4 linked regions of the Rhinolophus ferrumequinum genome follow. The protein of the gene in region 4 purifies or fractionates together with the protein of the main gene of each other region. This does not show direct contact. Links are inferred from orthologs where the notes say so. Each region holds a gene or a part of one and is shown on either strand. Other genes may lie near its edges. The genes, in order: SLMAP, PROSER2, CTTNBP2 and STK25.

Evidence for each region.
Region 1: the proteins of STK25 (region 4) and SLMAP purify together in Homo sapiens (affinity purification with mass spectrometry; 5 studies listed by BioGRID and IntAct, with this or other methods). This does not show direct contact. The link is inferred for Rhinolophus ferrumequinum from reciprocal best matches to the Homo sapiens genes STK25 and SLMAP.
Region 2: the proteins of STK25 (region 4) and PROSER2 purify together in Homo sapiens (affinity purification with mass spectrometry; 3 studies listed by BioGRID and IntAct, counting the BioPlex papers as one, with this or other methods). This does not show direct contact. The link is inferred for Rhinolophus ferrumequinum from reciprocal best matches to the Homo sapiens genes STK25 and PROSER2.
Region 3: the proteins of STK25 (region 4) and CTTNBP2 purify together in Homo sapiens (affinity purification with mass spectrometry; 3 studies listed by BioGRID and IntAct, with this or other methods). This does not show direct contact. The link is inferred for Rhinolophus ferrumequinum from reciprocal best matches to the Homo sapiens genes STK25 and CTTNBP2.

The regions. Positions count from the first base shown.
Region 1 is NC_046300.1:52,495,226-52,502,662, reverse strand, and holds the start of SLMAP (sarcolemmal membrane-associated protein), read right to left. Parts: upstream 3,015-7,437; 5' UTR 2,979-3,014; coding exon 2,781-2,978; intron 1-2,780. UniProt on the Homo sapiens protein: Associates with the striatin-interacting phosphatase and kinase (STRIPAK) core complex, forming the extended (SIKE1:SLMAP)STRIPAK complex.
Region 2 is NW_022680355.1:16,669,110-16,676,766, reverse strand, and holds the start of PROSER2 (proline and serine-rich protein 2), read right to left. Parts: upstream 3,008-7,657; 5' UTR 2,855-3,007; intron 1-2,854.
Region 3 is NC_046309.1:25,219,047-25,227,018, reverse strand, and holds the start of CTTNBP2 (cortactin-binding protein 2), read right to left. Parts: upstream 3,018-7,972; 5' UTR 2,952-3,017; coding exon 2,862-2,951; intron 1-2,861. UniProt on the Homo sapiens protein: Regulates the dendritic spine distribution of CTTN/cortactin in hippocampal neurons, and thus controls dendritic spinogenesis and dendritic spine maintenance.
Region 4 is NC_046291.1:253,307-260,258, reverse strand, and holds the start of STK25 (serine/threonine-protein kinase 25), read right to left. Parts: upstream 3,011-6,952; 5' UTR 2,847-3,010; exon of another isoform or gene 2,785-2,846; intron 2,368-2,784; 5' UTR 2,276-2,367; coding exon 2,246-2,275; intron 1-2,245. UniProt on the Homo sapiens protein: Oxidant stress-activated serine/threonine kinase that may play a role in the response to environmental stress.

The sequences.
Region 1 (7,437 bases), on a different chromosome or scaffold from region 4:
ATGAACTTAGCATGAAAAAGTGTCACCTGGATTTCCATGTGCCCACACTTTGCAAATTTTCTACAACGAATATGTATTACTTGAATAATCAAAAACTTTCAAGTGTTTATTATTTCCTCCAGATTTTAATGGGTCTCTCTTAATGGCCAACGCTGAATGCAACAGACACAAGTTGAAAGTCAACCGAAGAGCATATTACCCCAACTTTCTATCTCCCAGGTAAAGTGCCAATTTGGACAAAGTTCTCAACTTCGTATGTTTCAATTTAAAAATTACTTCTACATATGCCATCACCTAGAGGAAAAAAATTCGCATTATCTTCCTAAGACTCCACAGCATTATAGCAAATGGCAGAGCGTCCTAGATAGTTGCCTCTTCCCCCAAACCCAAACACTCTCCTCCCTAAGTAGTGAGCCCTATTTAATAAGGCCAGGAAAAGGGTGCTAAATTACTTACATGGTTATCTCAATCCTCGAAACAAAAGTAGGTACTCTTATTATCCCAAGAGAAAACTGAGGTTTATTGATGTTTGGGGGGGAAAATAACTTGCACGAGCAGACGCTTATATGAGGGGATTCTTGTGCTGTATAAAGAACTTTACTGGGAATAGATGGGGGACTTTTGTTGGGACAATTATAGCAGAAATCTTCAAACTGGATATTTCACAGAGAAAACAATAAATGACATCTGGTCAAATTGTAGGTTTTCTTTGGAACTAATGATATCTGGCACATAACAGATGTTTAGTAAAAATCTGTGCTCAAATTTAAATTTTAAGTAGTTAATTCCTAAAACACTTTGAGCACATGGCAAAATCTGACAGGTTATTTGTTTTAACTAGATTGGAGGTACAATAACCAATAATTACATCTACACCTAAAGTAATGGCCTCACATCCTGAGTGTGTTTTAGCTAATAAAGCAGGGGAGGAAAAATGGCAGGAAGAAGTTGTGTATCCTTTAAATATAAGTTTGTCTAATAACAAATTCCATTTAAAATTTTAACATGTCATCAAAATGACAGCAACACTATTAATCTATTATTCTTAGTCATCTCAAAATAACCTATTGTGGGGGTTTTAGTATAGCCATGAAAGGCACTGTTCATGTAATCACTGTTTTTCAAATAAGTAAAAGAAAAAAATCTGAGTCTCCTTTCAGTATTTAATCAAACTAAAGAATGTACATTTGCAGAGTATGTACTTTAAGCAAACCTATTATCTGATTAAGTTGGACCTTAATTGTTGCCCAGGGACACAGAGACAAAAATGTAAAAGCTGGTTAAAGCACTAGCAGTTAAATGATGTTTGAATCTGATTGCTGGAAAGATGGGTTTTATGAATATTCACTTTAAGTTATTATCGGTAATCTATAAGGTCTTTCAGGCACCCAAACTTTAGCTTCCAGGGAGGAAAGAAAGGGTCTGTTTCACAGGTAAATGAGCATCTGGTGTTATATAGAAAAATTAACATCCTTTTCAGTTCTCATGCTACACAGAGTAGGGTATAGGTATTATGCAAGCACACAGCACTTGGGCAATCTTTTCCCACTTTCTTTGAAAAATGTATATAATAATTCCTTAATTCAGCAACAACACAGTATTACTTTCTTCCTTTCAGGTTTCTTTCATTTCAAAATACTATTCTTGAAGACTTAAATTCTTCTTTTAAGAAAGACTTAATCATTTAACTCAAAAAGAGGGAGCAAAAAGTCAGGAGGTGAAATCCGAGATATTCTTATTCATCTTACATAACTTACTCTACGTTGGAATTGATTCAGTAGCTCAACTAAAACCCAAGGTTTAAGCAAAGATGAGATCAGTATATTCTTCACACACATAAAGAGTTTTAAAAAGTGAAAGGGTCTTAATGTAATTTTTTCCCTTGTATTCTTAAAATATAAGCACCCGCGTGTATGGGAAAAATAGGGTGCCAACATGTAAAAGTTAAAATGGTCACATTTAAAGTGAAGGGCACTAAATTCATCCTATGGCATCTAGGTAATGCAACCATTGATAGAACTGGATATAATTTCAGAAAATAAGTTAATTTCTAACACTGCTTGTGAAATATCACCTCTGGAAGAATGCATTCAGTATTTTTAAATAAGTGCTGCCGGGAACATCAAAAAGTGATTTACAAAAACAATAGATATATGTTCCCTCGACTTGCAAACAAAACTCTAAAAATGTAGTTATAATTATTCCTGCCTAACTAAATTGCCTTTGATAATTGCAAATTACTCCCTTCATGGGCATATATGTATCAAATCTTTCAAAAACTAACTTTACACAAACTATTGTCCTTACTAGACAGGCCCTGATCTGAACTCAACTAAGAGCTATGTGTATACTACATCCCACCGCTGAGACACTTGAGCCCCAGTGTAATAATGGCCACAGATTCCCTGCATTGCTTTGGGAACTGCTGCTTGCTTAACCAAGCACTGAACTACAAATTCACCTTTCTAAAAAGACTGCAAGTAAGAAGCCAAGCTTCACTATCTAGTTTTCTGAAACGAATTAGGGTTTGGGATTTCACTGGGAATGACCACTTATCAAGATGCCATCGCCCTCCCTAGGCATTTAATTACAATACCTTCTCTGTTTTCCATTCAACCACCTCAATTAAATTTCCACTAGAACCAGAAATACAAAAAGTTGATTCTGGGGCCTTGCTGAAAGTCTCCTCTGGGTGCAAACCCTGGGATCCCGCATACATTATAACGAAAGGACAAAGAGAAACAAAAAGTAATGATTGTTAGACAATGTGGTGACATTACCTTGCCCGTCTTGTGATCAAACCAGACGAGAGCATGGTTCCTTGACAGCACCTTGCAATCAAAGGTAGCATTATTTTGCGCGGGTCGACAGCGGGCCACTGAGCGGCCGATTTTAATGGGCTCGTCCAGGTAGACATGACGCTCCTGAAACGGGTGAGAGTTCGGACGGCAAGTGAAGATGGCCAAGGCTGACGGCATCGAGGACAGACGGGGGGTGTCTCTCCTTCAAGGGATAAAGAGGAGTTCCACCGGATCCGGACTGCCCTTCGCAAGCCTCTCCCCCTATCCCCCCCAAAATTTTAAATTAAAACAAACTGCGCATTGTCTAAGCATAACCAGTGAACATCAACAACTCTTCTCTTGAGTAGGAAGACAAGCCAGCGCAAGCCCCATCACCTCTTCTAACAGCCAGCGCACAAAAAGTCCCCAACTGGCAGCTTTTAGTCCATCTTCTTCCTCGGCAAGAAAAGCCTCAAACATCGGACAGCTTCAGCCAAGAAAACTCCTGGAACACAGTTTGGGGACTGGAGGTATCCAAGCAGATGAGTCACACACCAATTCTTGTGTTTTGTTTGGGATCGCGGCCGCTTTTCCCCCCTCGGTGGCGGAAACGTTGCAGCACTGCAGCATGAAGGAAGGGTCGGTTTGATGCGGCCAGGAAGGTCCTTTCGGGGCGAAGGAAGGTGTAGCCGAGCACCTCTGGGTAGCCACCGCCCGTCCTCAAGGGCCTCGGAAGTGGATGGGCGAGAGGGCGGCGAGGGGTCTAGACCGCCAGCGGGACAGTCTGCATTGCCCCTGACGCGCGAAGGCCGCCGGGAGGTGGCACGGGGACCCCGGCCGGCACGAGCCGAGGGGGCGGTGAATGGGGTCCTTGGCACAAGGAGCAGGGACCCGCGGGGGCGCGGGCAGCGGCCAAGTGGGGACTCCCAGGCACCTGGCGGGCGTCCCCCGCGACCAGGGCGGGGATCCGGCTCCGCAGGCCGGTGCGGACAGAGCGAGGCGCGACCCCGGGGGTCTCCGCTAGCAGGAAGTTGGTCCCTGGACGCCTGGACTCCTGGCTGCTGCTCAACACACCGGCCGCCTCCTTTCAGGGTCGCCCCCGCGAGGGTCGCATCCCAGGGACCGCAGCCGCAGCTCCCGGAGGACGAGGAGGTGGGGGAGGGAGGCTGGCCCGGAGGTTGGGGGAGAGGCCTGGAGGCCCCGGGCTGAGTCCGCCCGCAGCCTCCACCACTCTCGGCGGGTGGGACACGCTCAGGCTATGCCAGACGAGGCAGGAAACTTTCCGACCTGGTAGGGAAACATCAAAACAAACGGCCGTCAGGCGCCGGTGCCCGCCCGCCTCAGCTTTCGCGCTCCTCAACCCGACCCCCACCAAACCCCCACGACTGGCTGCAACCTCGGCCGACCTCTCCGCGGACGGGCTGCGGGGATTTGAAGGCCGGACGCCACGACAAGTCTAGCTTCCCTCACCGCCGCCGCCGCCTCAGCTTACCTTGCCAGCGCCGGCCGCCATAGTGACTCTGACTGAAACCTACCGGGTGCACAGCCACGGGAACGCGCACCCTTCAAGGGCCCTCCTATTCCCTCTCCCGCGCCGTAGTCCGGGGATGTCACGTGATCGACGCTGCCGAAGCCATGCTTGTCAGGGGCAGGAAAGAGGGCAAGCTAATTTTCAACTAGTCTCCGGAAGCCATCTTAGTTAAGGGCCGAACGCTTCAAACCATGGGACAGCCTCTACGGTCATTTTGGTTAAGGGCAAGAAGGACTTTGACTCGTTGCAGGTTTATAAACAAAACATGCCAACTTCCTACTTTATCATCTTAGTAATACGGTACGAACTTTTATTACATTTTATTTACTACCGTCCTCGTTGAAAATAACAACGAGGAAGGAGAACAGAGCCATCCAAAGGAGACGATATTAGCAGCCATTTTAACTGTGGGCAATAGTTTTCCCACAGCTCCCTTAGGAGTGAGCAATCAAATTCCCACAAATCCTAGGATTTGTGCGTCTGAAAGGAGAGAGGCCAACCTCATTCTGCGAAAGTCTTCGCTGTGTAGCTTGCCCGGAGGAAAACTCTTTCTTAGTCCCTGCTTTCTATTTCCAATGACCGGTCTTTCCACTGTACCTATCATGTCTTCCAGAGCTCCAACGCAGATTCTATCCCTGAAAGAGTGTGACTTCAGAAAGTTTAAAATCACGTTGCTTCCTCAAAAAGGTCCAACAATTTTCAATATGAAAAAAGGGGGTATTGCCCCCACCCATAGTAACAGGGCAGATGAAGAGTCATTGGTTTCAGGAAGAAAAGACTGCAAAATCTTAAAGATAAGTTCAAGAAAAGATGGTGGAAATGAATCTTATTTAGAATCAATGGTGGCTCCATCCGATTCCTTTGACAACAGACTTTACTACTGTGTGACCTTGGGCACGTTTCTAAACCTTTTCAAACCTGGTTTTCTTATCTATAACATGGAGATAATACATAACGCACCTGTTACTGCGAGAATTCAAGGTGATAATTCGTGTTGCTCATTAAAGAGTACCTATTATTCATTTCAATACTTGTATATACTGTTTTGGCCCCGTCCTAAATTCTGCTGAGCTCTGGGGACACATAGGTGAACAAAACCTGGACACCTGGTGTTGTGGGTTAGGGATGGGGGTAGGGAGATGACAAACACAGATGCAGAAAAATTTCACTTTGATGTAATCAGGACTAAAAGAGGCAAGCATTGGGTGCTAAAAGGACCAGGGATCGCCTTCTAGGAGAGGTAACTGAACTGAATGAAGGAAGTTTGGAAAACCACAATAAATATGAAATTTGCTGAACTCCTTTATACATTTCCAGGAATAGAGAATACCAGAAAAGGAACAATATTTGATACATGAATAAAATTACATACTGTTATTCATTATTATAGGATAAAATAGGAGTGCCACAAAGTGAGTCTGGAGAGAAGAATATGCACTAGATTGTAAAGAACTGGTATACTTTTCTAATTCAGCAAATATGTATTGAACTAGTACTGTGTTCAATATATTTTATTCTAGAGAAAAATAAGAATATGTTGAAAAATTTTAATATAAGAGGATGAAAAACTTTCATTTCGGGTAGCTTTTAGGCTTATGTGAAATAAAGTAATTAATATAGGCCCTTCTACAAATCCCTAATGAGCTCTGTATATCAACTTGTAAGTCATTTATAAATTCTTTCATTCATGCATTCATTCATTCTATAAATATTGAATTGAATGCCTATTGGACAAAAGATATTTTGAAGGTCCTGGAAATACAACCATGAAAGAAAGAAAGACTCCCTTGAGTTGCTCACAATTTGGGTGATGACACAATAAAACCTTTACCGTAATAAATATATCAAGATTAATGGGAGCATGGTAGAATAGTTTCAACTGAGACTTGAAAAATGAGTAAAGAGTAGGCCAGCTAGTCTGGTAGTCGTGTGATAACAAAATTTAGGCCAAGAAAACATAAACAAGGACCCAGGTACTTAAGATAACAGGACTTTAAGGGAATTACAGGTAAGTCTGTATTACTGGAGCAATGAGGGTTGGGGGTTAAGGAGAGGGGCACAAAAGTGTGGTTTCAATTACTGAAGGACTTGGAGGCAACCCAATGGACTTCAGAACATTTTCATCTTTCTCCTAGAAGGTCAAAGTAGAGTAATGAAAATCAAGTTTTCAGAATTAGACATTGCATCACCATTTACCAGCATTGTAAATGATAAATTATTTAGCTTCTCTAAGCCTCATATTCCTCATTTGAGAAAAGGAGATAATGCCTCCCAGAGTCTTATTAGGGTTAAATAAGATAATGCAAGACAAAGTATCTACCATGATGCCTAGGAAATTCAAAGAATGTTAGTTTTTATTATTATTACTAATAGTCAGAATTCCTCTAGCCTTCCACATACAGTAAGGAGCAAGTTGTATTATTCCTAGTTTGTATATGGAAAACTTGTTCATAAATGTGGAAACAAAAAACATGTCTTCATGTTCAGTGATATTACAATATCTCTTAATATTAATGTTAAACAAAGAGGATAGGCTATTTTTCTGCAAAAAAAAGCTGGGATTGCTATAACCTGGAAGGATAAAGAATCCTACCAAGCTATGCAGGGTGCTGGAAATGCCAAAATGGCACCAAAGGTATTCTTCACCCACTGGTATTCAGTGGGCACAGAAAAGGCTTAAATTAAGAAATCTCATACAGGCAATATGTAGAATTCGAAGCCATGATTCTGTATCCATTCAATATTTTGATGATTCTCTATGATTCTGTATCCATTCAATATTTTAATTAAATAAAAAACATTATGTTTTGGGAAATTTGGAATGGTAGTATTTCCCAATATTGTAGCTTTCTCTCCCTTTTTTTATTTTTACCTTTTGAATAGACTGATAGCAATCACCACTGCTATGAACCATGCTACTTTTCAATCTTAGAAAACCAAAGAGATAATTGCAACATTGTTATCCTGCTACCAGGAAAGACAGGCGATTATTAGCATCTCAGATGTGTAGGAGACAACTCTGTAAACTCACTTACAATGCAACCTTCCCTAAATGATAATGATCTAGTTAGACTTTAACCAATGACATAAGATATAATGGATTATAGAATACTTGCATAACTGCTT
Region 2 (7,657 bases), on a different chromosome or scaffold from region 4:
TTAGTGAGGTCTTTCAATATATTTGTTATTGATATGTTAAGTAGACAAAGTTAGTGAGGAATAATGCAATTAATAAGGTGCATTTAATGGATATCTCTACAGAAAAGAAAAAGGAAAACCCATTCTTCTCAAACACATACAATGTGAAAGTACTTAATAATACCACTGATTTGTATACTTTAAAATGACAAATTTAATACGTACTTTACAATTTAAAAAAGAGTGAGAGAATCAAGTCTTCACGGTGGTCGGATCTTTGCAAATATCCTGCCTGAAGATAACGCATTCATAGAGCTATCACATCCTGATCCAATAAGGCGGAATGTTCTGCCCTACACTTTCCTTTACCACCAATCCTGGCTGCATGGATTAGAAATCCAGACCCACGTTCTTAAAATAGGATTCAAGATTAATGCCGTGACTCCTGGACCAGATGGATAAGGGTGTTATGGACAGGTGCAGCTTCACGGTGGTTCTCTACAGATGTTACCAGTATTCCCACTATATTGACCCCACTGTGTCAGCGAACAGTGGCTTTCAGTACAAAGCCCCTGGACTCAGTCAAAGGTCTAAGAGGAGAATGCCGCAGGATATCACAGGGAGAGCTGCAGAGCACAGCGGGGAAGCCACCACTGCCACCAGAAAGGGCAATGGAAACTGAAACGAAATGCTGCCCTTCAGCAGCAAAGGGAAGAGCTCAAGTTCTAGGATGCTCCTAGGATTCTCTGGCACCTTCCCCTGAATGGCCTCCATGCCACTGGCGGCTGTCCCACAACCATGTAGATAAGATGCACTTGAACTTTTTGTTCCAGAGGATCCCCTGTTCTCTGCTCCACCCAAGCCTTTCACCTCTCTGGATTCAGGCTTCAAGGCTCCACTCCACCTCTTGTAGTTATTTGAGATGATCTTTAGAATCAACACAGGGTGACAACTATAGGCTCCTTAGGTGTCTGAGAACTTTGGAACCAGGGCCAGGTATATCTTCAGCTCCTGAGGAAGGCTTACTTGATCTGGTTTTAATCAGTTTGGGCCATATGGCTGTTATCTGGGTATGTTTGTATGCGCAGTGACTAGCTCAGTGCTCAGCTCATTGTGGGTGTTCAACCGTCTACAAATATCACTGAATGAATTCATGAACACCTGGGGCCAGCCCGAAAATAGGCACATCCCCTCTGCCACAAAGGGGGCCACCACAGAGTCAGACATACTCAGATTTTCTGAAAAGCATCTCTCCTCTTTCCAGCCTTTTCTACATTAGCATTCTAACTATGGCTTTCTGATCTCTAGTAATGGAGAAAATATGTTACTTTTAAATTATCAGCATCCAAAAATTTCAAAGGAAAGCTCATTTGAAGATGGCTATTACTGGTCTGGGCAAGAAAATACACAAGATTCCATACATACGCTGTCAAGTTTGGCAAGAGAGATTTTAGACAACTTCCACCTTTCCCACCCAATCCCAAGTAAATAGGGCATTTGTTTGTATTTCCACATTGGCCTCATGAAGGAAAATACCTCCCCCACCTAGAAAAACAATCTGTAACATTCAGACATGGAACTATGAGGGCAAACTTTGTAGCGAGCGTGAAGTATGTAGTGCTTTTAAAAACATAAAGCAGAAAAGTATCTTTAATAAAGGTTACTCCTGCGAGCATTATCCTGACGTTTACACTTACACCTGGTTTAGTGTTTTTCTACCTTTCAGAAATACGGGTTAAAAAGAAATTGTTCTCCATTAAAATTGGAGCTAGAAGGAGCCTTCTTCCCCCAGTCTCCAGCAACAGAGCTGAACGTTTTACTCTGGGTTTTTTTTTTGGTGGGGGAGAAGACACAAAAAAATCATTTTCCTTAACTCAATTTAAGTTTTCAGCTCTGCATCAACTAGGTCCTGGCAGAGAGTTAAGTTTTCTGAGGTTAGTTCTTGCGGTTTAAAAAAAAAAAAAAAAAAAAAAAAAAAAAAAAAAAAAAAGCTAGACGCTTAAATTTAGACTCCGTAAGACAATACTGGGAAAGTTTCAAAGCCTTGGAGAAATACTGGCGTTTATTTTATTGCCTTTTGTTAAATTGCATCACATCGCCCCATTTTCTTCTCTTTTGAAAATCCCTCCCGCCCCGGCTCACTAGCAGATCCTACACGTGTCTGCTTGATTCAGTTACCCGCCGGGGGTCGGGGGTTAGGGAGCCGAGGTGGGGATGAAAATCTACTGGTCACTGTGCACAGCACCAGTTGAACAGGTGGCTCTGACTACCTCCTTCCCGCCGCGTAAGGGACAGACAGCCCCGGAGAGTTCGAGGGCCGCTGTGGCAAGTGGGGCGACGACTCCCTCGCCCATCTCCGGGACGGAAACGGGAGGGCTGTTGGGGACACCCGGGACTGCTCTGCGCACAAAGCGAAGCATGTGCCACGGACCACCGTGCGCCCCCCCACCCCAACAGGACAACCTCGGAGCGGGAAGACGCCGCGTCCTCCCTACTGCCCGCGACCGCGGCGCACGCGAACCCCTGAAATCCCACAGGAGGGAGCGGGTTTCCCGTGAGTGAGGTCACCGGGGTGACCACGGTCCTTCAGACTGCGCCAGTCTTTCCTAACTTCCAGGAGACGGGGACAAGCGATGTGGAGGAGAGGGAGAGCTCGCAAAGAGACCCACGCAAGGAGGGCACCGCAGAAAAGCGTGGGAAGCGCAGCTCACAAAAAAATGGGAACACCTTTCTCTACCTGAAACCCACCCGACTTTGCCTCCCTCATCAGACTGCAAACACCGCCCAGCTCACCGACGTGCCAGGCGAGGGGACCGGCTGCCAGGACTTACCCCGCCCTTCTAACCCTGCCCTCGATCGAAAAGTCCGCACTCACCTGGCAGGAGCCCCCTTCCCAGGGACTGCAGGTGCCCCCCGGACCGCCGCCCGGAGCCCTCGCGCCGTGGGACAGCCGATCAGCCGGAGCGCTCCTGGCCAACAGTCCCGGGCCGGCCCACCGCGCGTTCACATTCCCGCCGCGCGCTCCCCTGCCGTGCGCGCTCTTATGCGCGCTCCCCGACAGCCGCGCGCCCCTCCGGCACGCCGCGCGCTCCTCTACCGCGCGCTCGCTCATGCGCGCTGCACCTCCCTGCTGCGCGCCCACCATCCAGGGCTCGGCCCCCGAAACGCACAAAGCGCGCGCCCGGCGCATTTAAAGAGACAGGCCCCCGCGCGGGAGCTGCCCGTGGTTGCCTCTCGCAGGGCTCCTCGGTCTCCTTGTGATGTTTGAATTGGGGACCATCTGAGTGAAACCCCACCCGCCATCTCTTGGGTTACACACGCGGAGAAAAGTAATAGGGATTTGCGTTTGAAGCTCTGAAGAAACGGGACATCCTCTCCCAACATTCCCCCTCCCCCGCCCCGTCAGCTTTGAGAGGTTATTTTATATTTACTGGCAATAATAACTACTATATATAGAATTCTTATTACCTTTGGACAAGGCATTTAACATACACATATTATTTCATTTAATCCTCACAACTCTCCCCTGATTTCTTGCTCCCATCTTACAGAGGAGGAATCTGAGGAAAACAGGATCAAAGAGGCCAAGAAACTCGGTCCAGCGTTTTCACCCCATTGCTTGGTGCTCTTTTCTCCTTGCCTCTATCACTGGGAAAATCGACTGAGGTAATAGCTGGTGTGGAACGCTTTGTAAGGTGGTGGAAGTTAAGGTTACTAGTGTTTCCGTGGGAAGGAACAACTCTGGGAAGGGAGAAAGCAAGAGTTACGGCTTTTATTAATTGTAGGGTTTGCTATATACCCAAATGGCAGACAGTATAACCACCTATGTTCCAAACTGCTGTTCGGGCTTATCCCCCTTCTACAGAAAACTCGGGAAGGAAGTGGTTGGTTGTGCAGAATGGCTGACTCACTGGCAGCACTCAGGGCTGAGCCCCAATTCCTCAGTCCTGAGATCATTTCTTTGCCGTCCCCAGGAAGAGATACCTGATTAAAGGGGAGAAAACTTTTTCTCTAATAACACATTGGCCTCGTCTAACTCCCTGCATCTTTAATTAATGTTTGCAAAGCACTTTAATCTACCCAATGTGCTAGTTAATTAGGCAAGTGTGATTATCCCCCTCTTTCTGAACCAAATCCAGGAGAGAATCAATTCTGTCAGTCCTTAATCCTTGATGAATAAAGGGCCTAAGCTTTTTGTTTACGTTCTTTTTTTCCCCTCTAAATTTTGTTCCATATTGTGTTAAATACGAATGCATTTATCATTAATTGGCTTAGTAAAGGTTAAATAATATTAAACACCCGCAGGTGAGAGGTAATATAGGCAACCCCTGTTTCTAAAGGAATGCAGATAAAGAAAAAGACATTTTGACAAAAAATTCCCAGAATTTTTTCTTTTTATTGTACCTTTTGCTTTGTTAACCTTTCAGACGTATAAACATATTTTAACTTCATTTCTTTAGTTTACTTAAAATTTTTAATTTACACATTATCTTTTGTGTAAAAATTTAATTTTACACAGTGTCTTTTCTTACAGTTGAAGAAGAAATAAGAAACTGAAGGATGATCAGATTAGAAAGGAAGAAGGGGAAAAGAAAAAGGCAAACAAGGGGGGCGGGAAAGAAACAGGGAAGAGACTGGGGGTTTCAACGACGACGAGGCAGCAGAGGAGATGAGACCCGTCCCCCGCGAGCACATCTCAGCTCTTTGTGGGAATTACAAACAGGTGGCTCTTCCTCTGGACGGATACAGACCCAGTTAGGGCCCAGCGTGACCACCTGAGCACAGGTTGGCTTCCAGTCCCCTCTGCACCCCTGTCTAGGCACCTTTGTGCTAATCGAACATACACAAAGGGACTAAAAGAGCATAAGGACATGAAGTGAGGTAAGAAAGGACATGAAGTGGGACTTAGGGGGGGAATTGAAAGATCGTTATTCATGAAAGTACTTAGAGAATGTCAAGGGGAAAAAGGAGCAAAGAAACATCTGGAGGGTCTTTGTATATGCTATTGTTACTTCTTTAAAACCCATGAAATTTATAAAATTTTACTTTATAGTCACTCAACTTTTAAATAAATGTCTTCTGAGGGCTGCTTGTTGCTAAAAGAAAATGCTGGTAATGCATGACCCCCCAAATTAGATAATTGTTCTTATGAGCTTTGTGTAAGATTAAAATTTTAGAGTAAACTAAAAGTTAAACTAAACATGTTTTTATTTTATACAATTTATTACAGTACTGTTTTAAGTGATTTGAGAAAGTGCAATATCTGTCATGGCCACTAGAGAGAGGCAGACAGGAAAGGAGAAAGAATGGTTAGTAAATTTCATGAGTTTTCTTTACAAAAAAATGATAGCATTTTAAAGCTGCAAGGGAAAGTGTTAAGACTTGATTTTGCTTTATGCCTCTTCCATGGTGGAGATGTATAAACATGAGCTATTTATCCTTTTTGAGACTCCGTTCCTCATTTGTAAAACAAGGCTGTTAACACCTACCCTGTGAGGCTAAAACAGAGTTATTTTAACATTTACCTGAACAAAGAGCAGATGAGGAGAGTTAATAAAATTATGAAAGTGAAGAAAAATCTGGTAAATTGCTCTGTTTATTATTGAAGTGAGGCTATAATAATTTAAAGGAGAATAGAAGAATAATAGATATTGAATGATGTAGATAATAGAATGGAATAGATAACCCAGAAAAAGATAATGTTGATACAGTGTAGACTTTAATATGTGGTAAAAGAGTCATCTAAAATAAATGAAAAAGGGATGGATTCTCAGTAAATGGGCTTGAGAAAACTAGTAATTTACTAGTAAACTAGTTTACTAGTAAACTAGTAATTTGAAAAAAATCAAGTTGAGGCCTTACCTTTCATTATGTGCTAAAGGAAATTTCAGCTGTATTAAAGAATTTTATAACTGGGAGAAAATTTAGGCAAATATGTGACCTTAAGATGGGGGAAGAAACGAAATGGGAAAATCATACAGGAAATGACCGTTAGACTAGATTACATAAAAAAATTTGAAATTCTGATAACTAGAAATAATATGAACAAAATTTGAAAAGGAAAAAAAAAAACCCACAAAACTATGCATAACAAATCTGACAGTTAATTTTATCCTCAATACAAGAGTACACACAAATTGATAAGAAAACTAATAACTCAATGGAAAAATTTCCTCAAAAAGAAAATAAAAATGGTTAGTAGTTAGCTCTGTGTGTGTGTGTGTGTGTGTGTGTGTGTGTGTGTGTGTGTTTGGACTACCAAATAATTTTAAAAATGAAAATTTAAAATAAAATACAATATTTGCACCTATTAAATTAGAAAATGTTTTCTTAAATTGTAATATTCAATACTGGCAGAAATGCAGTGAAATGGGCAATTTTATATATTATTAGTGGGAACATAAGTTGATATAGCTATTGGAAAGCAACTTTATGAAATATTTTAAGAGCCTTAAAAATGTTTATATATTTTGATCCTTATAATTCCATCTAGGGATTCTATAGAAATAATCAGAAATGAGCACAAAGATTTGTACATAAAGATATGCACTGTCTCCTTTTCTATAATGTCAGAAAATTTGAAACAGCCAAAACATCCAAAATTAGGGGAAGTTTAAATTAATTCTTATGCAGCTATTAAAACCGAGGAATTTTTCATGAACACAAGCAAATACCTAAATTATTGGTAAGAGGGGAAAAAATTGCAAAATTGTGTGTAAATTATAATTTCAGCTATTAAAAATGCATGTATATATGGACAAACTAGAAGGAAATATATCAAAAGGATGACAGTTACTGTTTCTGGCTCTGATTATGTGATTCTTATTTATAGTATTGTATATGTTCCAAATTTCCGTTGTGACTCTATGTTACTTTTCTAAATCAATGCAGACTAATAAATATTTTTTTATATGAGACAGTAAATACCAATGTACATAGCATAGAATCTGGTTTATATTCAACATTCAATAGATATTTGATAGATGATGGAAGGAAGAGGAGAATGATACACATCAAGGATGATTTATTAGTGAAATTTCTTGATTTTAAAAAAAGGAAATAATTATTCTACTTCTACAGATGAGGAAATTATGACCTGGAGGTTTTTTGGGGACGAGTTTAGAGAAAAACTATAAAACGATAATAATGAAATGTTCCATACTTCCTGAAAGCAAGTAGATGATGTGTTACCGTGTCCATATTCCACGTCAGTATTTGAAGGAGAAACATGTGGAATAAACAATTATGGAAGAAAACATAAATAAGTTATTCCTAAAATTTAACGATAAGAGTTCTGAAAAAGAAGACTCCAAAAGGTCCTTGGTGAACAAGTGCTGCTCCTGCAAGCTTTAGGACCTGCCAAGTGACTGAGGTCCAAACAGAAAAAGAGGATGCATGGCATCCATTCATTCTTTTTTCTTTTAATTATTATTATTAGTTTCAGGTGTACAAAACAATGTAATAGACATTTACACCTCTCACAAAGTGATAACCTCCTCCCCCAATCTACTACCCCTCTGACATCGTGTATAGCTGTTACAGTTCCACTGACTCTATCCCTATGCTGTACTCCATATCCGTGACTATATATATATATATATATATATATATATATATATATATATATATATATATATATAAAGTTATAGCTGACATTCAATATTATTCAGCTTCAGCC
Region 3 (7,972 bases), on a different chromosome or scaffold from region 4:
AACAAAAATTTCAAAGTGCTAGCTGTTAATTTGACATTACTATTGCACATTCTTAACAAAATCATTGTTGAAGTTTTTTTCTTATCACTATCACTGCAACAAAATGTTTATCTCCTTTTTGCACAGTAGCTGCTCCAGAAAAGCTCAGACTGACAGGAATGTTGGTCAGCTTCTGAAACAAAGCTCTAAAAAGAGCTCCATTTTCCTTCAACTCTTAAATTCTTTGGTGAAATAAAAAACAGAAAGATTTCTGTTTTCCATACTGCTTATCCACCAGGAGCTATTTTCAGGCTACAAATAGCAACATAGCCTATAAAAGTCATCACATTTGGCCAAGGCGCTGAAAATAACCCAGGTCTCTCGGCATGGTTCACAGCAAAAACTATTAATATGATGCTGTCGAATAATGTAGCTGTTACCCAGCTTTACACTTGGGATGCTTTCAGAATTTAAACAGCTAAGAACAGAATCACAAACTAAATTTAAAACCTTCCACTGAAAATCAGATTAAGCTGATAACTATAAATTAAACTTGTCTCTAAGCAACAATCTAAATAGTCAAAACTTAGTGAAAACACTCACTTTCAAAAATAGCCTACTGCTTTGGCATTTCCATTGGCTCATTATTGCCAAATGTACACATAAAAATCCATAGTATGTAAACCAATTTGAAGTGAAATAAATCTCTAAAATGGAAAAAAAAAATTCACTAAAAACAAAAAGGATTTAAGTCCTCAGTTGCCACTAACCCAAAATGCATAAAAATGCCTTTGAATTTTAATCATTAGATAAGGAGCAGTTATGAAAAATATTCCTCAACCTAGCTTTTCTTCAATTTAAAAATGAGTCTATAGGACAAGTGGCTGATACGGGAGGACTATACCTTAACGAAAATTAAATGTTGAGTTCACTGCATAGAGGCCATCATCAAAATTTTACTAAAATGTCAAAAGTTATTTAAAAATTAAAAAAATATATATATATTAAATTAAGAATCCTCATTGCATCTCCTCGGAACCCTAAAGAATTCTATGGAAATAACAAACGAGTTCGCTTTCACAGATTCCCCAGGACTATTCCCACTAACCAGGGTGAAATGATCAAATCCCCACCTACACGCAGTCTGAAAATTGGACTCCTGGAAAATTTCAGCAGCAGAAAGGGAACACTGGGCTTGTTAACACACAAATCTGCCTGGCGTCCAAGATTCTGTTTACAATCTAACCAAATAAAACTATAGATCAGCTACAGACCATAAATCAGATGTTTTGGTTTGGTTTAATTGTCAGGTGATTAAAATACTGCGGGTGGTAGAAAGAAGCCAGTTCTAAGTAGATTAAATGAATCCAACCTTCCTGGGAAACAACACATACACCCCCGCACCCTTCTTTCCCCTCCTGTTACTGTCTCTCGGGGATGAAGGCACCCAGTCATTTCAACTTCCCAGAGAGGCGTGCTGTATTAATAGCAAGCTGCCTTCCAGTGCTTCACAGAGGGGGACTGACTCACTGCATCACAGGCAGGCAGGTTTCATTGGAAATCTTAAGATAAGTTCACATCTTCCAAGTAAAGAATGAAAAATCAATTTTACTAAAAGTTTCACATCAAAACTTGCCAGTTTCACATCAAAACTTGCCAGTTTCACAAGCGGGAAACCAGCTGCACTCCTCCTCCTCCTTTCCTTCTCTCCGTTTCTCTTTTCTTTCCCAGGCTCGGCTGCTCTCCCGCCCAAGCAGCTTCGTCCACATCTCTCCTCTCCGGCTCCAGTAAGCCCTTCCTCCAAACCGAGAGGGAGGAAGTTAAAGCAGCCCTGGCTGTTTACACCTGGCCCTGCCCTCTGCTGCTCCAGCACCAATTCTGCTCAGGTCACAGAAAGAACTGAGCAGCGTCCATACTCCTCTCACTCCATCCCACCCGGAATCTGGCGGGTGGGATCGCGCCATAGGTGGGAGGCGCTCCCAGAGCTGCCTTTCTTTGCAGATCCTCGCAGCTCCTGCAAAGCCGCTTCCCAAACCCGGAGAACGTTTTTACCCAGGAAATGTGGGTCCAGCCCTCCCCCACGGTAGGGGCTGGAAACCACCACTGAGACTGTGCAAGGGGATATTCTGGGGGTGAAAGTGGGGACCAGCGATGGTGGAAGCTCATACGATTTCTAGACCCCAGCGAAGGAGAACAATGTGTTGCTACCAGGTGCTGATCCTCCACCTCGCCCGGGCACCTACTTAGGAAGAACGAGGGCACCTTCCCCCGCGCCTCTTCCCCCACACACCAAGTGATGGGGCAGCGCCGCCAGCTAGAACCCAAAGACCCGGCGCTCAGCGCAGCACTGCCCACAGCGGGGCACGGCGCCTGGCCCGGGGGGCCTCAGGCACACGGACACACACACAATGGGCATCCCCACACCTGCTCGGCGATGACCCGCCTTCCCCTCGCTGCTCTCCTGGGTCCGCTGAGAGGTACCAGGCACCCCGGAGACACGCGCCCACAACCACGCGCGCGAGAGGCGAACAATGGGGGTTCAAGTTCGCCAGGAAACACACCCCAGCTTTCGCCCCTGGCCAAAGCCGACTGCAGCGAGGGAGGAGTGGGCCTGGGGGTCGCACCGGGCGCACGCAGGGAGCCCTGAGCACCCGGCAGACCCGGCCGCTTCCCGCCGGGCAGCAGCCCAGGGGGCTCGGAAAGGACAGGAGCGATCCCCAGCCCGGGGGGCCACCCCACCCCACAGGGACTGGCCTCTGGCGATGAAGGCACCCTGAGGAGGGGGCACCCGGGGAGGGGGCCGCCCGGACTGGTGGAGCGCCCCGGGACGCCGGACGTGACCCCGGCCCGCGTCTCCTCTGTCCCCGCGCCCATCCCTGGACCTCGGTTACCGCCGCCTCCGCCGAAGCCCCCGCCGCGTCCTCGGGGGCGCGGGAGAAGTCGGGCTCGCAGCTCGCGCCGTCCGTCGCCATCTTCCTGCTCTAGCGGATCCGAATGCGAGCTCGGAGCGGCGGCGCCGGGTTCAGCCCTCGCCGCGCGGGCGGCGCGTAACCCGCTGCGGGCCGGGGACGCGGACGCGCTCCCTCCGCCCCCTCCGCCCCTCGGCGCCGCTCCCGCCGCCTTAACCCGCTGCGCGCTGGGGCGCCCCCGCCCGGCGCCCGGCAGTCCCCCGGCTGATCGCTGCAGGTACGAGAAACGGGCGGACGCCCAGGCCCGGCTCTGGCCCCGCGCGCAGATGGGGAATCACAGCCCCCCGTTGCGGTGAAGGGAAGAAAGAGCCCAAAACGTGATTCGCCCGGCCCCTTCCCCAGCAAGCCAGCGGTGCACACGCCGAGCGGATGAAATGTCAGGCCTCCTGAATCTGAACTCTGTAGGATAAAGAAAATCCTTCACTTCAGTCCCGTCTAGCCCACCGCTAGGAATCACGGGAGGCACCCTGTTCTTTTTGCTTAAGTTTGTTTGTTTGTTGCAAGACTGCAGCCAGGGCGTCTTCACCTTCTTGGTGTTTTGTTTTGTTTTATTGTGTCGTTGCCTCTCATGTTTCTCCCCAAACCATCAACTCCCAAGTGAAAATGTGTCCTGCTACCCTTTTTACGTTGTGTCTGCTCCCTGGGCCCATATCTTTCTGCACAATCTTTTTCAAGAAAGGTGAAGCAGGGTCCCTCTTTAACCCTTCGAGTCTGAGATATTTTCTTAAGGGCTAACCAAGAAATGTTAAGTGCCATTACTTGTAGAAAGAGGCTCTCTACTTTTAAGAGAAATGGAAAGAATTACCCCCATGTGGTGAGGACATGCACACACAGCCCCCTCCGGCCCCCCCCCAAAAAAAAATTTTTCTTTAAAATTGATTTTATGGGAAGTACAAGTCTTAGAAGATATTTTGTGAGATGAGTAAGTTAGGCCCAAATTCTTAATTTTCCCTTCTCACATCTGATTCAGATCTTACCCTTTCCTGCCAATTTCCAGGATATGAAAATCTATCACCTTATCAGGACCATATGGTACAGGCCTTCCCAAATCACCAGATCCCAAAAATGTGTTGAAAGCACAAAATCAAATGGAAGCATTCAAACTGTGTCTCAAAGAAATAAAATCAAACAGCAACCAAATCCTGGACTCGAAATTCTGTAAGATGAATGACTAGGATGTTCAGTCCAAGGGTCACAGGTGAAAAGCGCTTTTGTTTTTTTAAATTGCAGACTCCTAATGAAAGGTTTTGACACTTTAATTGCTTCACTTTCCAAATTGGATCTAAATATGACACAAACGAGCGCAGAAAAAATATTTTCTGCAAAGGCTCTGAAAGGGCTCATCAATAAGTTGTAAAGTGTTCCCTTCCACAATGGGTCTACATCAAGAAAGAACTTTCACCTGGAACCCTGGGGTTAAGGGTCACAGGTTTAGAAAGTACCTCCTGGGAATTCTATAAGCAAGGTGCTCACTGATTTATTTTCTTGGACCTTACTGTGATAGCTACTCCCTCCTCCTCTTAGCCCTACGCTTTTTCTCCCTGTTCATTATACCACTTTCTTTTATCAACATTCTTTCTGAAATTGCTCGATATGATAATAACTAGATTCCTTATAAGATGAAAGAAAAGCATTTGACAGTAAAACTTAGATGCTGGACTGATAGTAAAATATTTAAAGTTGGAGCCAAAAGCATTCCTTGTTCTTTTCAAAATGTGCTTTCACACATCACAAGGCAATGAATTTTCTTGATACTGATACTTGATGTTGTGGTTGAATTGCTACCCAAGAAATTCATTCACTTCTGGTTGGGGGGTGCGGGAAGAATAAAATAATAAACTTCACTTGGGGGATAAGAATTAAGACTATGACATGACAATATTTCTGGGAAGCAAATGCCAATTACTTTATACATGCTGCTCAATTAAAAAAACATCATTGGGAAGAAATAGCTTCTATTAGTCTAAATACAATTAAAGCAGAAGCATGTCACAAAGGAAAAGGAATCAATTAATCAATCCCTGAGCAGTTTCTTCCCTCTCACTTCCTTTTTTTTTGGCAAAATGAAAACCAGGGGAAAAAACTCACAGGACAGTACATTTTTTTTAACTGCTAAAATCCAGGATGTAGGAAGGAAAATAAACAGCATTTTGTCTCTACCTTAAAGCTGCCACTGACCACTGCCCAGGGTGGAAGGAATGTCCCATCCTACTGCACAGAAGTAGAAGTAGCATCCTAGGAGTTCACTCTCTCACCACTGGGCTGGTCCCCTGGCTGCTTCTCTACCAGGAGACACTTGCTGGTTTAAATTCTCTCCTAAGAATTAGCCTCTCTTGAGATTGAGACTGCAAATTAACTCTTTCTGAAAGACTTTCTTTGTACAAAGACAGGCTCTAAGGTATTAGAGTCAAAACAAATAGATCTGAAAGGGTAGTGACTTGATGGCTCCAGAAATTAAATCTTTTAAAGCTTCATTAAACAGAAAAAGAAAGAGAAAGAAAGAAAGAAAGAAAGAAAGAAAGAAAGAAAGAAAGAAAGAAAGAAAGAAAGAAAGAAAGAAAGAAAGAAAGAAAAAGACATCCCAGGGCTAGAGTGAAAATTTCTGAAAGGCAGGGGAAAAGAAGAAAGTTGAAAGTATAAGCAGGAAGAAAAGAAATCCCTATAACAAAAATGAAAAATGATTTTTAATCAGTAAGTTGCTTTCAGCATTAAAATGAAAGAAGAGATGCTGAATCCATTGCAAGCAGAGAAAACTATTAGTGACATTGTCTTCTCTTTAACATAATGAAGTGAATGACCTGACAAATGAATTAAGACAAATTATTTCCTGACCTGGGGCATGGAAGTGTTTGTGCTCAGCTACCGCGCACACTGTTCAAGATTCTCTTTGAAGACCAATGAAATGGGTCGCTGCAGCTAGGAATGCAGATTGTGGTGGAGGAGCCAAGTGGTTTTCTGATTAAACCATGGGCTTGGCCACACCAGCCACATCTTCCAACCCACTAAACCAAAAACCCAGAGAGTTACATATAATGAAGCAAGGGATGCTTCCTCCCTTGTGAAAAGACAAAGGATATCCTAGAACAGTTTCCCTCAGATTATAAGAGAATTCTTTATTTCAGTTAAATGACATTATGTAAACTCCAAAGAGCAAACCATGCCTTATCATGTCTTAGTATTGCCAAATGACAAAATTACTGAGTAGCAAATCCTTTCGAGACTGTATCCACAAGGCTGTAGTTATACAATATAAATATTGCAGACCACGCTTATCCCTGTCTACACCGCAGCTGCCAACTTAGCTAGCCCCAAAGCTCGACGTCAGGAACTCTAACAGAGCGCAAATGAGCTTCAGGGCCCTGTTTCTATTTTTTTTTGAAACTAAGACATTGCCAGAAATGAGTCTTCATATGACCTAACTACATTCCCTCATAGTCAGCTTGTCATTATCTACGTGTACTTAGGCTCTTCGTACATTTTACTCAGTAAACTGAATCCTAGTTTAGTTAGCCACTCTTGTCAACAATTTATGGTTTTGGAAGGCCTTCTCCACTGCAGCTGGTCTGTGCCAAGGGAATGCAAGCTAATTTTACCTAAGCTAAAGCAAAACATAATTAGAAAATTAAGTCTGCTAGGTAGGAAGCAAGCCAAAGCTAAACTTATATATGTCATTATAATCACTTCCAGCCCCTTTTGACTCCACCTCTAGTTGGCAACTGCATGTGGTCATTCAATGCTAAAGTGGTGTCCAAATATAAGATGTTATTGACAAGTTAAAGGTACAGTAATGACATTATTCTCCAGACCAGTCACTCTAAGAAGAAAAACTGGGCTAATACATAGCAATAAAGCAGAGTTGGTTCTGTTCTATTAAATGTTTTGAAAATCCTAAACCATTGCTTGTCGATTTGGACTCTTATCTGCAGAAGTCATTTACGAAAGTAAGTTTTAGTGCAGAAGGATGGTTTAGTTCAAAACCCTCATGGAAAACCAATTTTAACAAAGGAATCTGGCCCTCTGCTGCCCCTCATCCACCTGAATTGGAAATGGACCTGAATGGTTTCGTGTATTCAACATATTTAGCAACCCCACAAGCCTATGTAGTTACTAGGCAACCACTAATGTAGGGGTGTTTATACCATTAGGCATTAATTATAGCAAGCTTTATTTTTCTTAGAAAGTTTTAAAACTATAGAAATAGGTTGTGACATCAGACCCTTTTCTCCTCTGGTTAAGAGTGTAGAGGTAGCTATAAAACCAAAGCTGAGATTTTCTTTTATCTATGGGTATGTATTGTTTGGTACAAAAGGAAACGTAGTGTTTGAAGAATTAATAAGGAAACTAAAGATGATGCCCTTCAATTTTAATAAATATGAGGATGTCATTTATGATGGTCTCAGTGATGATTTACTTATGATACAAAAAGCAGGAGAAAAGCCATAAATGTATACCTTTTCCATGTAAAACTGTGAAATAAACCAGTATATCAACATTTTCCAGACCGTCATAATCATAGCCATACACCCAGTTAATGCAGTTTCAAATATCTTTGGAATTTTTGAGACAAAAATTCCACCTTACACTATCCCAAATCTCACTTGATGACAATAGTTTTTTTGTCCACCACGCCATTTTTTGATGGGTTCAAATCAGTTGGGCTCACTTAAAAACACCTGGAAATGTGATGTTATTATTTGAAAAGAAATAATATAATATATACATATATCAGAAGTTATTCAATTGACTGACAAATAAAAAATAAAATTTAATTCATATTTATAAAACAATGTCATGGCTAGACTTGAAGGCTTAATTATATTTCTGATTCAAGAACTGAAAGGGGAAAGGAAGCTTGGGTGTTGTTACTTTCATTCTAGAGAAGGCAAAGTCACTTGTAGAATAATAAAGAAAAACAATTCTGACAAATCAACATTAAGGTTTAATGGAATGGAATGTTTCATTCTGGCAATTAAAGAAACATTTAACCACTGAAGTAGTTGTATGCTAGCAATGTAATATTTTTT
Region 4 (6,952 bases):
GTGGTGAGGTGTCCCCTTGCACCGCGGCTCAGCCTGTTAAGGGATGTGGCCAGCCCCACTGGAACCGGCAGCCCAGTACACGTGGAAGAGAAACAACCGCGAAGCTTGCAGCCAGCCTACTGCCAGGAAGACCCCAAAACCAAGGTCAAGGGAAAGCAGGCTTCAAATCACAGCTGCTCAGGTCTTCAGGTGTGACCTACCATACCGCTGACCACTGAGCGAGCAGCACAAAAAGGCTTTCCTGCCAGAGAGAAAACCTGCTCCACTGGCTTCCACGTGGGGACCTCGCCGGCCCCGCCCGGCCTTGGCCAGAGCCGATCTGGCCCCCCACAGCCGCCAAAGGAACCCCAGCCGGCCCGCTCAGACCTCCACTGCCTTGAGCAGAACACAGTGCACCCCCTAAGCCAGAGTCCAGGCTCCACAGAAGACAGGGCCCCGAGCCTCAGGTCTCAGCACCGCTGCGGATCAGTCAAGTGAGTAGACAGGGTGTGACAGGAACACTTCTGGCTAACACTGACCCTACAGGCGTATCACCGGCTGAAGGAACGACACGCAGCTCTCAGGTCTGGGGGCCCGGGAGCCCTTCTAGACCAGGCACGTGGTCTGGACAACACTCAAGTGGCTCAACTGGCTCTGGTGGTCAAGGCCCTTGTTCTCAAGTCAGCCCTGGCACTGCCAGATTTGGGGCTACCACCTGGCAGAATGTCTGCCATTAGTTTCACCCCACAAAACAAGAGCCAAGCTGTCCCCAACCAGCACACGACAGGTGACAGCTGGTAAGCACATGGTGCTTTCACACCCCCAGCCATTCGGCCCGTAGGCGGGGGTGACATCAGAGCAGGAGCACAGGCTGTGGGGGAGCTCGCCCGCTGCTCCACACAGGGACCACCCACGAGGCCACAGTGACAGCCGTCTGGAGAGAAAATGCAGTCCTATCAGGCCTCCTGCTGCGACAAAGGCTGAGTCTGTCCGCCCCTGAAAGGACAAGGGAGCGTCCTTCCTTTGGGGTCCCTTTCCCAGCTCCTCAGCACCCACGCCCCCTCCCCGGGTCTGAGTGGGCACCCAGGCCAAGCATCAAGCACCATCAGCACAGCGGTACAGGCGGCTCCCTGCTCCAATTCCTCTCTGGGACCCATGGAGGCCACTCCTACAGCTCTTAGAAAACAAGCTCCAGGCGGACTTTTCTCCCAGCACCTTGGCGTGTACCAGACACAAAATGTCAAGCATACACGCAAAGTCTGTTAGCATCATTCAGTGTCCGTCAGCAAACCCCGGTCCCATCTGTGGCCACTGCTGGTCCAGGACGCCCTGCCCAACAGCCCTGCCCAACAGCTGCGTGTGGCTTCCGGGCGCCTCCTCCCTGCGCACCATACGACCCAGCTTCCTGCTCCTCCTGCGGGCTGAGCTCCCGACTGTGTGCACGGGAGCCAGCGGTGGGACTCCTCTCTGTAAGAGGCCACCCCTCGCCTTACAGCAGTTGGCCTAAATCGCGTCAAGGGAACAACTAACAACGAGGACACAGGAAAACCTGGCCACCAGGCAGCCACATCAGCTCCAATCACACTTCCTTTAACAAAAAAGAGGGGAGGTCCAGACCACAAGCCTCCCAACTGCCCCCTACACACACCCTCCTTTCCAGGTGCCAGCAAACTCGGGGCACACTGCAGAGGGTCCCCCAGAGTCAGCCAGTGGAGTCAGACACCTCAAGGTGTCTGAATACCGGGGATTCTAGGGAGCAACCGACCGAAGGAGGGCGGTACCACCAGGTAAGTACTGCACCTCCCTCCATGGACACACTCACGCGCGTCCCCCACTCCTACAGGAGAGCGGCCCGCTCACCCTCCCAGCCCCCCTAACCGCCCACCAGCGAGGGGTCCCCCGGAGGCCCCGCCCCGGCCCGCGTGCGCCCGACCTGCGCGATCCCAGCAGACGGACGTGCGGACAGACCCGGGGTCCCGCCCCAGCCACGCCGCCGTCCCGACCGGGCCTCTGCACAGCCTCCACGGCCTCCCACTGCGCTGCTCTGACATGCCTGCGCGCTTCTGCACCCCACAACGCTGCAGCAGCCCCCCCGTCGGCCCTGAGCCCCAGCACGCCGGGCGCCTCGGGACCGCGCCCCCTCTTGCCCACAGGTGTGCGGCACGGGTTCCCACCCACACCCCTCCCGCGCCTGCAGGCACCGCTCTGCTCCCGGCGGCCCGGCGAGCGGACACACTGCCCGCTGTCACCCCGAAACAACCCTCACCTGGCTGGCGAACCCCCTGAGGTGAGCCATGTCCGCGCCGCGCTCAGAACATCCGCCGCCACCGCGGAGGCCCCTGGATTCCGCCTCGAGGCCCTGGCACCCGGCTCGCTCGCTTCAGCCAACTGGAGGGACAGCAGGCCGCTCGCTCAGCCGGTTCAGGGGGCGCGAGGCGGCCCCTCGTCCGACCATCGGGAACAGGCTCCGAAGGGGGCGGCGGGCTGGCGTCAGGAAGGCCCCGGAAACCCCCACGGCAGCCCTTCCCCGCCCGCCCGCCCGCCCGCCCGGGGCCCGCGACCCCCGAAGGGACCGCCGCCCTGAGCGCCCCCCGAAGCCCCGCCCACCTGGCCCCCGCCCGGCACCGGCGCTCAGACCCGCTGCCCCGCGCCAGCCAACGCTCCCGGTGCCCACCCCGCGCCGGGGCCCTCTCTGCCCTCAGCCCCGCACCTTCCCCTCACCCCGCTCGCCACCTCTCGGCACCCCCACCGCTCGGCCCCCTCCCCAACCGCCCCAGGCGCGGGCTCGCCCAGCAGCGCGCCCACCTCCGGGGTACTCCATCCCGGCCTCCCCCGGCCCGCTCCGCAGTGCCCGCGCAGGCTCCCACCCGCAGCCTCCGCTCGCCCGGGGGGACACCCGGACCCTCCAGCCCGCGAAGCAGCAGCAGCGGCGGCGGCGGCGACGGCCGGAGAAAGGCCGGCGGCGGCGACGGAGAGGGCGGTGCGCGGCGTCGTGGCCCAGCGCAGGGCTCTCAGGGACACCGAGTCCGGCCGCTCGTCCAGTGCCTGGGCGTCCGCCCGCGTTGGACTACAAGTCCCGGCAGGCCAGGGGCGGGGCGGAGTCGCGGCCCGCAGGCGCGCCGCGGGGCTCGCTGGGACTCCGAGTCCCGCTTCCTGAGAGGCTCTGGACTACGTCTCCCGGCAGGCCGCGGGGCGGGACCGGGTCCGGGAGGCGGGGCCACGCCGGCGCCCCGCTTTGGGGTTGGGGCCCGCTGGGCTCTATCTTGTCTCCTTTTTGCCTTCCTCTTCCTCCGCCCCATCTTCCCCGGCTCCACTCTCCATCCTCCCCGCCCTCCCAGTGCGCTATCCACTCCGCTTCCTCCTATTCGTCTCCCTCCGCCCCCCCCCTCCCCTAGAAAACTCTCCCCTCCACCTTGGAGGGCGTCCGCCCTTCTGCTGCTGCTTATCTGGCAGCACCCACAGGGTCCTGAGGGGAGGAAAGGACCAACACATGTGGTGCATACACACAGTGCAATATTATTCAGACTGAAAAAGGACTTTCTGACACCTGATGCCACATGCATAGGCCTGAGGGCATGTGAGCAGTGAAATAAGCCAGACACAGAAGTACAAACACTGTGTGATCCCCCTTGTGTGAAGTCCTGTCATGCGGGGCGGCCTGCGGGGTCTCAGCTCCCGCTCCCCACATAAGAACGCAGGACATGGTGAGGCCAAAAAGGAACACCCACGGAGCCATAGAGAGGGGAGTCATACCACTATATTCTCGCTGGCGGCTGGGTTGGAGACAGGAAGCAGGAGCCACACTATCTACAACCTGCCGTCCACTTCTCTGCAATCTGCAACCCGCACTCTGCCGTGCTAACTGCAGTCCGCGCTTGCCAGCCACCATCTTCTTGCTAGCCCCCATTTTCTGCTAGCGTAGCCACGGCGGTTATATTAGTGGCCAATGGGTCACTGGTTACAGCTGGCGGCCAACTAGCCACAGCTGATGGCCAGCCAATCACAGTTGATGGCCATTTACTACCTGAGCCAGCACCTTTCCATGTGAGGCCGAGAGCCTGGAAACTGCTTTCTGGGGCTCTGTCCCCACAAGTCCCTAGAGGAGTCAGATTCAGAGACGGAAGTCGATGGTGGTGCCAAGGCTGGGGAGCGGAGGGGAGTGAGTGTTTAGTAGGGACGCAGTGTCAGTTTGGGAAGACAAAGAGTTCTGGAGACAGAGGTAATGGTTGCAGAACAATGTAAACTGAGCTTAACAACGGAACTGTGCACTTAAGCATGCTTCACACACTCACTTTTATATGATGTGTGTTTTCCCACAATTATAAATAAAATGAAATAAAAAAGGAATTAAGTTCTGACACATGCTAAAACAGAAGAACCTAGAAAACAGCTAAGGGAAATAAGCATAAGAACTCTCCTGTAGCTGAGTTTCTCCTGTCACGAGACAAATGTTGTATGATTCTATTTATATGAGGTATCAAGAATAGGCCAATTCAAGAGACAAAGTAGAACAGAGATTTCCAGGGGCTGGGAGAGAGGGGAATGGGGATATATTACTTAGTGGGTACAGAATTTGTTTGGGGTGATTAAAAAAAAAAAGTCCTGGAAATAAATAGTGGTGACGTTTACACCACTTGTGAATTTTCTTAATGCCACTGAATTGTACACTTAAAAATGGTAAATTTTATATTGTGTGTATTTTACCACAAATAAAAGCAAAGATAAATTGAGCTTCATCAAAATTTTTACATTTTGCTTCCAGAAAGACACTATTAAGAAAATGATAGGGGTGGCTGGTTAGTTCAGTTGATTAGAGCGCGGTGCTAATCACACCAAGGTTGCGGGTTTGGTCCCTGCTGGGCCACTGTGAGCTGCGCCCTCCTTAAAAAAAAAAAAAAAAAAGAAAAGATGCTACAGACAGGGAGAGAGGAAAAATATATATATATTTATATATGTATTATATATATATGTATTATATATATATATCACATAATATATATATTGAGAGAGAGAAAGAGAATATATAAAGAGCTCTCAAAACTCATCAGTTAGAAAAGAACCCAATGGGGGTGGGTGAAAAAGAGGAAGGGATTAAGAAGTACAAATTGGTAGTTACAAAATAGTCCTGGGGATGTAAAGTACAGCATAGGGAATATAGTGAATCATATGGTAATAACTATGTATAGTGCCAGGTGGGTACTAGACTAGTCAGGGGGATCACGTCGTAAATTATATAAATGTCTAACCACTATGCTGTACACCTGAAACTAATATAAAATAATACTGAATGTCAACTCCGAAAAATTTAAAAAGGGGGGAAACATAAAGAAGAGTAAGATGTTCAAATTTCCAGATATAAAACAAATAAGTCATGGGGATATAATATACAGCATAGGAAATATAGTCAGTAATATTGTACAGTATATTACAGTATATACATAGTATAGTACAGTAAAATTGCGTGGTACAGTGTCAGATGGTTGCTGGACTGATGGTGATCACTTATTTAGCATATAATCAATAATATGGTAATCACTATGTATGTGCCAGGTGGGTACTGTTGAATAACTATGATGTACACCTGAAACTAAAACAATATTGTATGTCAGTTATATTTTAATAAAAACATTTGTTTAAAAAGAACCCAATAAGAAAACTTGAGAATAGACTTGGCACACCAAAGAGGATAGATGGGTGGCCGTCAGCAATGAACAGATGCTCAATGTCGTTAACTATCCGGGAAATGCAAATCGAACCATGACGAGACTCTAACTGCACACATATTAGAGTGGCTAAACTAAAAATACTGACACTAGCAAGTGTTGGCGAGGTTAGGGTGACCAACCATCCTAGTTTGTCCAGGAGTTTCCCACTTTGAACACCAAAAGTCCCATGTCCCAGGAAGCCCCTCTTCCCATCCTGGGCAAAGCAGATGGTTGGTCACTCAGGGTGAGGAGGCAGAGCCCAGAACTTTCATACGGTGTAACTGTGCAGCCGTTCTAAACAACAGCTTGGCGATTACTTAAAAAGTCAACTATATACCTAACACGTGAGCCAGCATGCCCACTCCTGGGTATTTACACCAAGTAAAGAAAACATATCTTCGTACAAAAGCCTATGCATAAATGTCTACAGCATGTCTAGTCAGCCGGACCCCAAGCTAGAAACAGCCCAGAGGTACCTTCCGCAGTGAGTGGATGAGCCGCGATCCATCCAGACATGGAATCGACTACTGAGAGACGTGTGACAGAAGGAGCCAGTCTCAAAGGATCACATAGCATGTGATTCCGTATAGGAGGCATTGTGGAAGAAACAACAGCCACAAGGGAGAAGTTGCCAGTAGTTCCCAGGGGTGGGGGGAGCAGCCTGCTCCCACAGAGGAGAGCAGTAGGGGGTTTCTGGGGGTGAGGGAACTGCTCTGTACCCTGACTGTGGAAGGGATGACACAAATCTATACCTGCATTAAAACTCAGAGAACTGTACACTAAAAAAGACAATTTCACTGTATGGTTTTCTAAAAGAAAAAAAAATTGTTTTCAAAGATTTTTTTGGTAAGGCGAACAGGACTTTATTGGGGAAGAGTGTGTATTTCCAGGACTGTTCATTGGGGAACAGTAGTGTGTTTTTCCCAGGACTCATCAGCTCCATCCAAGTCAAGTTGTTGTCCTTTCAATCTTAGTTGTGGAGGGTGCAGCTCAGCTCTAGGTCTAGTCGCCATTGTTAGTTGCAGGGGGCACAGCCCACCATTCATTGGATGGGAATCGAACCGGCAACCTTGTGGTTGAGAGCCCGCGCTCCAACCAACTGAGCCATCCGGGAGCTCAGCGGCAGCTCATTGACTTCATTCTAGTTGCTGAGGGCGCAGCTCACTGGCCCGTGTGGGAATCGAACCAGCAGCCCTGTTGCCCAGAGGTCGCGCTCTGACCAACTGAGCCACCTGTCCACCCGAAAACTTTTTTTTTTCCTAAAGATT